Rattus norvegicus: one gene and its partner. The protein of the gene in region 2 interacts with the protein of the main gene of each other region in a biochemical or structural test. Links are inferred from orthologs where the notes say so. Each region holds a gene or a part of one and is shown on either strand. Other genes may lie near its edges.

The links. The genes of interacting proteins can lie anywhere in the genome.
Region 1: of the proteins of Ptprc (region 2) and Csk, one has a biochemical effect on the other in vitro, tested with the Homo sapiens proteins (2 studies listed by IntAct). The link is inferred for Rattus norvegicus from reciprocal best matches to the Homo sapiens genes PTPRC and CSK.

The regions. Positions count from the first base shown.
Region 1 is NC_086026.1:66,927,473-66,931,684, forward strand, and holds the start of Csk (tyrosine-protein kinase CSK), read right to left. Parts: upstream 2,803-4,212; 5' UTR 2,756-2,802; coding exon 2,741-2,755; intron 2,415-2,740; coding exon 2,301-2,414; intron 2,189-2,300; coding exon 2,076-2,188; intron 1,787-2,075; coding exon 1,567-1,786; intron 778-1,566; coding exon 684-777; intron 491-683; coding exon 425-490; intron 345-424; coding exon 245-344; intron 153-244; coding exon 62-152; intron 1-61. UniProt on the Homo sapiens protein: Non-receptor tyrosine-protein kinase that plays an important role in the regulation of cell growth, differentiation, migration and immune response.
Region 2 is NC_086031.1:52,193,701-52,197,319, forward strand, and holds part of Ptprc (receptor-type tyrosine-protein phosphatase C isoform 1 precursor), read right to left. Parts: coding exon 3,492-3,619; intron 2,258-3,491; coding exon 2,123-2,257; intron 1,078-2,122; coding exon 931-1,077; intron 1-930. UniProt on the Homo sapiens protein: Protein tyrosine-protein phosphatase required for T-cell activation through the antigen receptor. Acts as a positive regulator of T-cell coactivation upon binding to DPP4.

The DNA of each region.
Region 1 (4,212 bases), on a different chromosome or scaffold from region 2:
CTCAGCAGGGGCAGAGTGGAGGGGCTGTGGGACAGGCAGGTTGAGGCTGAGGAGCACCTACCTTGGCCATGTACTCTGTGACGATGTAGAGCCCACCCTTCTCCTCCACAATCACACCCAGTAGCTGGACTAGGTTGCTGTGCCGAAGCTGCCTGTGGCAGGACAGGGTGGTCAAGAGTTCAGCTTGCCCATCCCCCGCCACACTCCACCCAGGCGGCCTGCTCTTATGTCCAGCCCAACTCACGTCATGACAGAGGCTTCAGCCAGGAAGGCCTGGGCTGTAGCATCATTCTTAATGCACTTGACTGCAACTTTGTTGCCTCGGTAATCCCCCAGCATCACATCTGTGGGAGAAGCAGGGGTTGTTTCCTGGACTCTTGGGGCTCCCCCACCTCATCCCCCCACCCCCACTCCCTCAACTCACCTCCAAACTCCCCCTTTCCTATCGTCTGTAGCAGCTTCAGTTCCTTCATGTTCAGGGCCCAGCCACCTGGGGACAGGGACCAGGAGGGAGGCGGTGTGTCAGGGAAGTGAACAGCTAATCTGAAGCACTTGAGATGATAGGCACAGGCTAAACTGTTTTAGATGTGGGTGTCTGGGGTTTCCAAGCCTCTAGGGTAAGGGCAGAGGGCCCGGGTGAGGGGAAGTGGGCAAGTGGGAGATCGGAGACATTGTGCACTCACTGCGGTAGAATTCATCTTGGGCCGCCACTGTGCCCTCCATGACCTTTGGTTTGATGAGGCGAGTGCAGAGTCCGTCGGCATCTGTGGTGTAGTGCTGCAGAGGTGGGGCAGGCCCTCAGAACCAGACCTACTGGGCCCCATTTCTCATTGACCCACGCACTGTTCAGGTCTGACCACCAGAGGGCAGCAGAGGCCATTCCACACAACCTTGAGCTGCTTTGTGCGGAGAGGGTTCCTCATTTCGAGAAGGGTATAATGCCTGTCCATTTCCCACATCGCCCTATCCACACTCAGCTCCTGGACTCCCAACTGCCACTACTGCTTTGGGCCTCACCAATATCTCAAGGTAGATAGCAAAACCTGCCTGCTCCCTATACCAGCCTCTACCAGGTGTACTCAGGGCCAATGTAAGCCAGAGATGAGAACGAGCTTGGAGGGAACCTATAGGTATCTGATGCCAGATATGGCCTGGCCAGAGCTGGGTGGAGCTGCTGTTGGAAGCATCAAGGACCTGTGAGTCTCAAGGATCCTGACGGCAGTGTGCAACCCAGAGGCTCTGAGTGCTGGAAGAAGTGAGTTCCGGATCACACGAGTGCTTCCCCTGCACAGATGAGGGGACCTTCACTGATCTGAACCTTTGTGTCCTTATCTATAAAATGGGGATACCACCCTATTTGTGGGCCTTTGGGGACAGAACTGAGCTCTCTCACACAGGTGGTGCTCCACACATGTGAGGAACCTCAGACTCAAAGAAGCCATCAACATGTCCAGGTCACCCTGCCAGGTGAGCTGGGTCTGGGTTTGTCCTAAGTGTCCTCAGGTAGACTCAGGCGCGAGTGTACGAGAAGGGGGCTCACCCCGGGCAGGCATGTTCCCCACTCACCTCCACCAGCTGCATGAGGTTCTCGAAGTACACCTCCTCATCAATGCTCAGCTTGCTCGCGTGATACATGATGCGGTAGTGCTCCACCTTGCCTTCACAGCTCACACACAGTGTGTAGTCCCCAGGGTAGTTGGTGCTTTCCCGCACCAGGAACAGGCCTGTCTCTGGTGGGTAGAGAAGCCGCTCCGCCTGCTCCCGTGTGATCTTGCCGTGGAACCAGCTACGGGTGGCAAGGCTGGGCGTCACCAGGGTGCTGACCCGGAAGCTTCCGCCAGCCTCCTGCACACACCTTCCCAGAACTCCCAATCTAAGGGCGTCATCTTCTTCCTGTACCCCTTTTTTCCTTCTGCATCCATTAGCTCCAGCCTCTGGCCCCATCCCTAGAACGCCCTCACCTCACAGCCCTAACTCAGGGCTGTTTTGCTCTGATGCCTTTCCAGGAGGACCACTGCCATTTCCTCTTTCCCCCAAACCAGGAGACTGCAGCCCTCCGTCCTCTTGGTACTCACGGCATAAGGCTGAGCTTGGTGCCTGCCTTCACACCCTCACGCTTCTGGACATAGTTGGCTGGGATGATGCCCTCACGGCCCACTTTGTTTTTGGCTTTGTACCAGTTGGGGTCCTGGAGAGAGAACAACACAGACACACTCTGAGGCCTGCCTCCCTCGGCCAAGCAACCAAACCCAGAAGAAACCCCTGGAGGTGATGGGACAGGCATCGTAGGTCCCAAGTACCTTGGTGACAGCCACAATGGTGAGCACATCTCCTTTGCAGAAGGGAAGGTCTTGCTCGGCAGTGCCATGGAAGTTGTACTTGGCAATACATTCTGTACCGGATGGCCAGGAGGCCTAGAGGATAAGGGACAGGTGTCGGTGCAGCCTGGGGAGCTTCTCTACCAACCTGCCCGAATGCCCCTGAGACCAAAGCATCTTAGCTAACCTCCATGAACCTGGGGAGATAACTTCTCCAGAGAGTTCTCAGCCCTTCTAGCTCAAATTCCTCTGTAGCCCTCTCTGGGGCCCTGTGCCCGACAGAGCACACTGGAATTAGTGTTACTTCACACAAAGTCCTGACTGGGATGGAGGGTTGGGCATGGTTGGAACAAGCTGCTCTTAGTACCTATTCTTTGTCTGGCCTGGGGAGGGCAAGACATGGGACCACAGCCTCACGATACCTGTATAGCCGACATCTTCTGAGATCTGGCGTCCCCGTGCTACAGGAAGGCCGGTCTGTTACTTGGTACCATTAGAGCTGCGGGAAAAGAATCAAGTTGAAGATGAGATGACCCCCACCCTGACTGTGATCATCACTTCTTCCTTAAAGGAGTGCAAGCCGTGGTCCGTGACATGTGGGTCCTGGGCTGTTCTAACCAGCCTCAGGTAGACACACACAGACCTAAGAGTCCCAGAGGGGTGCCTACCAGTCCTTACAGGCCCCACAGAATGACCAAGAAGGCCAACGAGGCCGGGAAGACTAGAGGGGAGGAAGTCCAGGGAAACTCTGAAACCGGGCAGGTGCTATGTGGTCCAGGAAAGCTTGTCCTGAGGCCTCTATACAGACAAATGTCTGTGTTTCCTTCTCAGCACACACCCAACAGAAAAGAGCCCGTGTCTACCAGGAGGGGCAGGTGCTCTCCCTGGTGTGCTTTATAGTAACTGGCAGATCAGGAACTGCCCAAGTGCTGAAAATAAAGTAGACAAGGTAGGGAGAAGTCACACAAGGCAGGCAGGGCCCTTCTGTGATCACACGGTTAGATGGCAGGCCCACCTGAGATGGGACAGGTGAGGTCTAGCCTTTACTTTATAGCTATGTATACTACGAATGGAAGAGGACTTTCAGCGTGAGTGCTGTTATATATGAGCAAGTGCATGCACACCTGCACGCACACACATATGCAGGAAGCACAGAAGCTGAGCCCTTAAGACTTCAAAAGGTAGAGGATGGGAGCCAGGGATTGACCTTAGTGAATGGTGGTTCCCTGGAATGCTCAACAAGGCTCTAGGTTCAAACTCTAGTACAAGGTATGGATCTGTACGTTTTAAATCCATGAGCAATCAAGCAAATAAATATTTGTTAGAAAAGCAGAGGGAAGAGGGTGAGGCAGAGGGATGGCTAGTTGGAGGCCAGCCTAAGCTATATGGTTAAAAACTTGTTTTAAAAGAAAATGGCCAGAAAAAATGACATAGAGAAGCTTAGGATATTAGGATATTAGCTTCTATTAGATATTAGGATATTAGCTTCTATTAGATATTAGGATATTAGCTTCTATTAGATACATGCACACAAAACACCAACACACATAAAAATGAATGAATGAATGAATGAATGAAGGAAGGGAGGGAGGGAGGGAGGGAGGGAGGAAGGAAGGAAGGAAGGAAGGAAGGAAGGAAGGAAGGAAGGAAGGAAGGAAGAACTGGCCTGGGTAGAAGCTGATGAAGCAAGGCTGAATCAATCTGGGCCTCTGTGACCCTCGACTTGCTGAGCCTATCCCAAGCACCCTTGTCTGTCTGCCGTATGAGAAGGGCTCCAGTGGCCCTGGCATGAACACTGTAGGGTAGCAAGGAGCTTCCCTGTGAAGCGCTATGGTTGGACTCTGAGGGGGATACGCTTGGGGAACTTCTTCAGGGAGCACACACTCCCAGAGTC
Region 2 (3,619 bases):
GTCTGTCTATCTATCTATCTATCTATCTATCATTTATCTATCTACCATCTACCTATCATCTATCTATTATCTATCATCTATCTATCATGCATCTATCTATCATCTATCTATCATTTATCATCTACCATCTATCATCTATCTATCATCTATCATCTATCTATCTATCTATCTATCTATCATCTATCTATCATCTATCTATCGTCTATCATCTATCTATCTATCATCTGTCTATCTATCATCTATCTATTATCTATCTCTCCTTTCCTCCTTTCCTACTGTTTCTCTCCTCTTCCTTCTAGAAATGCCTTTACTGCCTGTGAACAAGGACATCTTCTGTCTTCTTTATGTTTGATCATTCATTAATCACCATTTTAAAAAATTAACATTTACAAATAAATGTTAAATTTAATTAGAAATTTTCACTTCTTTCTCCCCAAATGTCTAGAACCCCTTTCCATTAAATAAGCTTTATCCTGTTATTAATTCTATTGCCAAAATCTGATGACTATAGTCCCTATTTTATGTTCAAACACTTAGATTTGCCTGAGTTTTATTAGTTTCTTTGCTTATTTTATTTCTGTTAGAAGCAGGCCATAATTGTGGAAAGAAGTTTTAGAGTACAAAGCAAATGATGGTATAAAAAGAATGAAAGAAAAAATGAATAAAATGGGAATAATTCATGCAAACCATTTCAACTGTTCCTATCAGTCTTGCAACAGACACAATTTGAAGAACAGAAAAGAACTTTAGTTAGGCTTGTATAGCCTAGTTTTTAAAATCCACCTTAAATTGCATTTAAGCTTTTTTCTTTACTGATATGCTTTCTGTAATTCTATACCATTATTTTTTGTGATTCTCCAAAAAAAGAATGAAAACCCATGAAAGAAGAAGAAATTTTATTTATTTTATAAATGTCAGTGATATACTTACTCCCAAAATCAGTCTGCACCCTTCTGTCTTGTTTTAAAAGTATTACGTTATTGTAGAGGACTTCCGCAGCACATGTGTAATTTGTTCGGACTGTAAGGTTGTGTAACCAAAGTGTTCCGTGTTTGTCCAAAGCAAATGTTTTCATCTCTGAAAGAAAAGTATTGCTCATGAGTATATGAAATGATACACAGTATAATGGCTTCTTTTATGGCACCATGCGCTTAAGACTTTATGGTAGAGCCAGGCCTCTGCAAATGGTGAACTCATAAGCCAAGATCCTGCAAATAGCATTGCTATGCTCGACTGAGTTGAGAAACCAGCATTGTGACTTATTTTTTAAAAAAAAATTGATAACTCATGATATATTTGTTCCATCTATGAACATACTGCTTACAGCTTAGGCCAGCAACTTCCCGTTAGGGCGTTGACAATCAGGGTGACATTTCCACTTCTGTGTCTGTATGTATGTGCCTTCCTCTGTCTTGCCAAATGTGTCCTGGCACACGGCTATATGGCCAGAGGAGAAAGAATCCACCTTATTGAACTCAAATATATGTTTTAAAAGACCCAACCTCTATAGAAACCCAAGCTCACTCACAGAAGCACTTGCTCTCCTTGATACCCAAGGATTTTTGGACTTTCAAATGATTTTCATTTATGTATCTCTGGTTATGTATAACACTCTGTTTCCTTACTACAGACTGTAAATATCATCTTTCCTTTTTAATGCTGGCATTTCATCATCCTTTCAAGAATATCTGATACATAGAAGTACTCAAGAAAATTTGTCTTTTAAAAGATGTATTTATTTATTTTATATATATGAATACATTGACCTGTATTCAGACACACCAGAAGTGGGCATTGGATCCCCATGACAGGTGGTCGTGAGCCACCATGTGGTTGCTGGGAATTGAACTCAAGACCTGTAGAAGAACAGTCAGTGCTCTTAACCACTGAGCCATCTCTCCAGCCCAAGAAAATTCTTTTAATTAATTTTTTGCAGTATGTATCATCCACGGGTTGTTCTTTTCATTTATCTACTTTGTGAGTTTGTTTCCGTGCCAGAGGCACCAGGGTTATTTCATTCTACTTTGTGGTGGGCCACTCAGGGTGGGTGAGGAGGACAAGAGCCTTTAAGCCACATCTGGAATAACTTCTGATAATAGAGCTTCTCTGCACAGTATCATACCTGGTGTACAACGGAAATTGTATGAAATCTTTTGAATGTCGCAGGTAAATTTGTTTTTTATTTTCCACTCCAAACAAATTGAGGTATTAGCTTCTATGTCTGGTGTGCAGTTTGTTAAGTTAAAGTTGTGAGTCCCTGTGGAGAAAACATAGAAGTGCCTTTAGGTTATGGTTCCTGGCGTGGAGATGTGAAGCTTCACAAGTAAAGACTCTGAAATCACACCCATGAAGTCCACTCTTGCAAGTGGAAAATTTCACTGGGAGGACTCTAAGCTCTCCCAGGGTCTGATGCCTCTTGATGATCTATTCACACTCCTAACTTTTAATTTATCTTTGTTTCGGTTGACGCATAACTATACAAACATGTGTTGGCTCTATCTACATAATGTGTAGTCGCTGTTTGCAGGCAGTCTGTCTATTACCTCAGACTTTGGCATTCATTAGGGAAGATAGCACATTATCTCTATACCACAGATTTTAGTAGAACTGTACGCTGCTTTCTTTATAAATGCAACTCAGGGAAGCATCAAGATAAACAGCTGATTTTCCCATTTGAAAAACAATTTCTCTGGGCTTTTGATGCTTGTCCGTTGATCTATTTTGGGTTTTGGAAAGAAGGTGTAATGTCACACCATAGCTCGGGCTGGTACAGAACTCATGATGCAGCCTAGGCTGGCTTTGAACACATAAACTGCTTCTGCCTTAGCCTTCCACATTCTGAGTTCACAACTTTGGTATTAACATGACTAGAACTCCCCCTTTGATTTTTTTCCCCCAGAAAACATTAAATGTTTAGCTATGTTCTTTTCTCTAATGAAAACACTTTGAATTTAAAGAGAAATACCAGCAGTCTCATGTAAAATTAATTCACAAAATACAAAGTAGGCTGTTTCTAATCCATAGGAAGTGCTTTCTTGGTGGTTTGCCGTTGTTGTTTTGGTTTTTTGTTGTCTTTTTTTTTTGGCTTGTTTTCTGTTTGTTTGTTTCTTTGTTTGTTTGTTTTGAAACAGCGTTTCTCTGTGTATCCTTGGCAGTCCTGGAGCTTGCTCTGTAGACCTTGGCTGCTGTTGAACACTGAGATTTGCCTGCCTCTGCCAAATGCAATGTTGAGATTAAAGGGGGAGGGCCACCGCCTCCCAGCTGGGAACCTCTTTGTAAAAGAAACAAGAAAGACAGGCGATGCTCCTAAGGAATAGGTATGTATTTCTCTGTGCTCTCCAGGGTTCTCAACAGGGAACACACTTAACAAAGCTCACTTGCTTTCCCTCACTCTTTTTTTCTGACCACATTAGCCTGAAGAGGCACCAGAACACATATATGAACTCTCCCTGCTGTCCTAAATACACAGATAGAAGGAAGTTGACATTCACCTGGTGGTACATCTAAATTTATAATTTTATCTGGAGTACATGAGCCATTGGAGAGAGTGACGTTTTTCTGTGAGCATTCTGGTAGATTTTTTAACTCTTTTTCACAATCCGTATATTCACACTTAGGT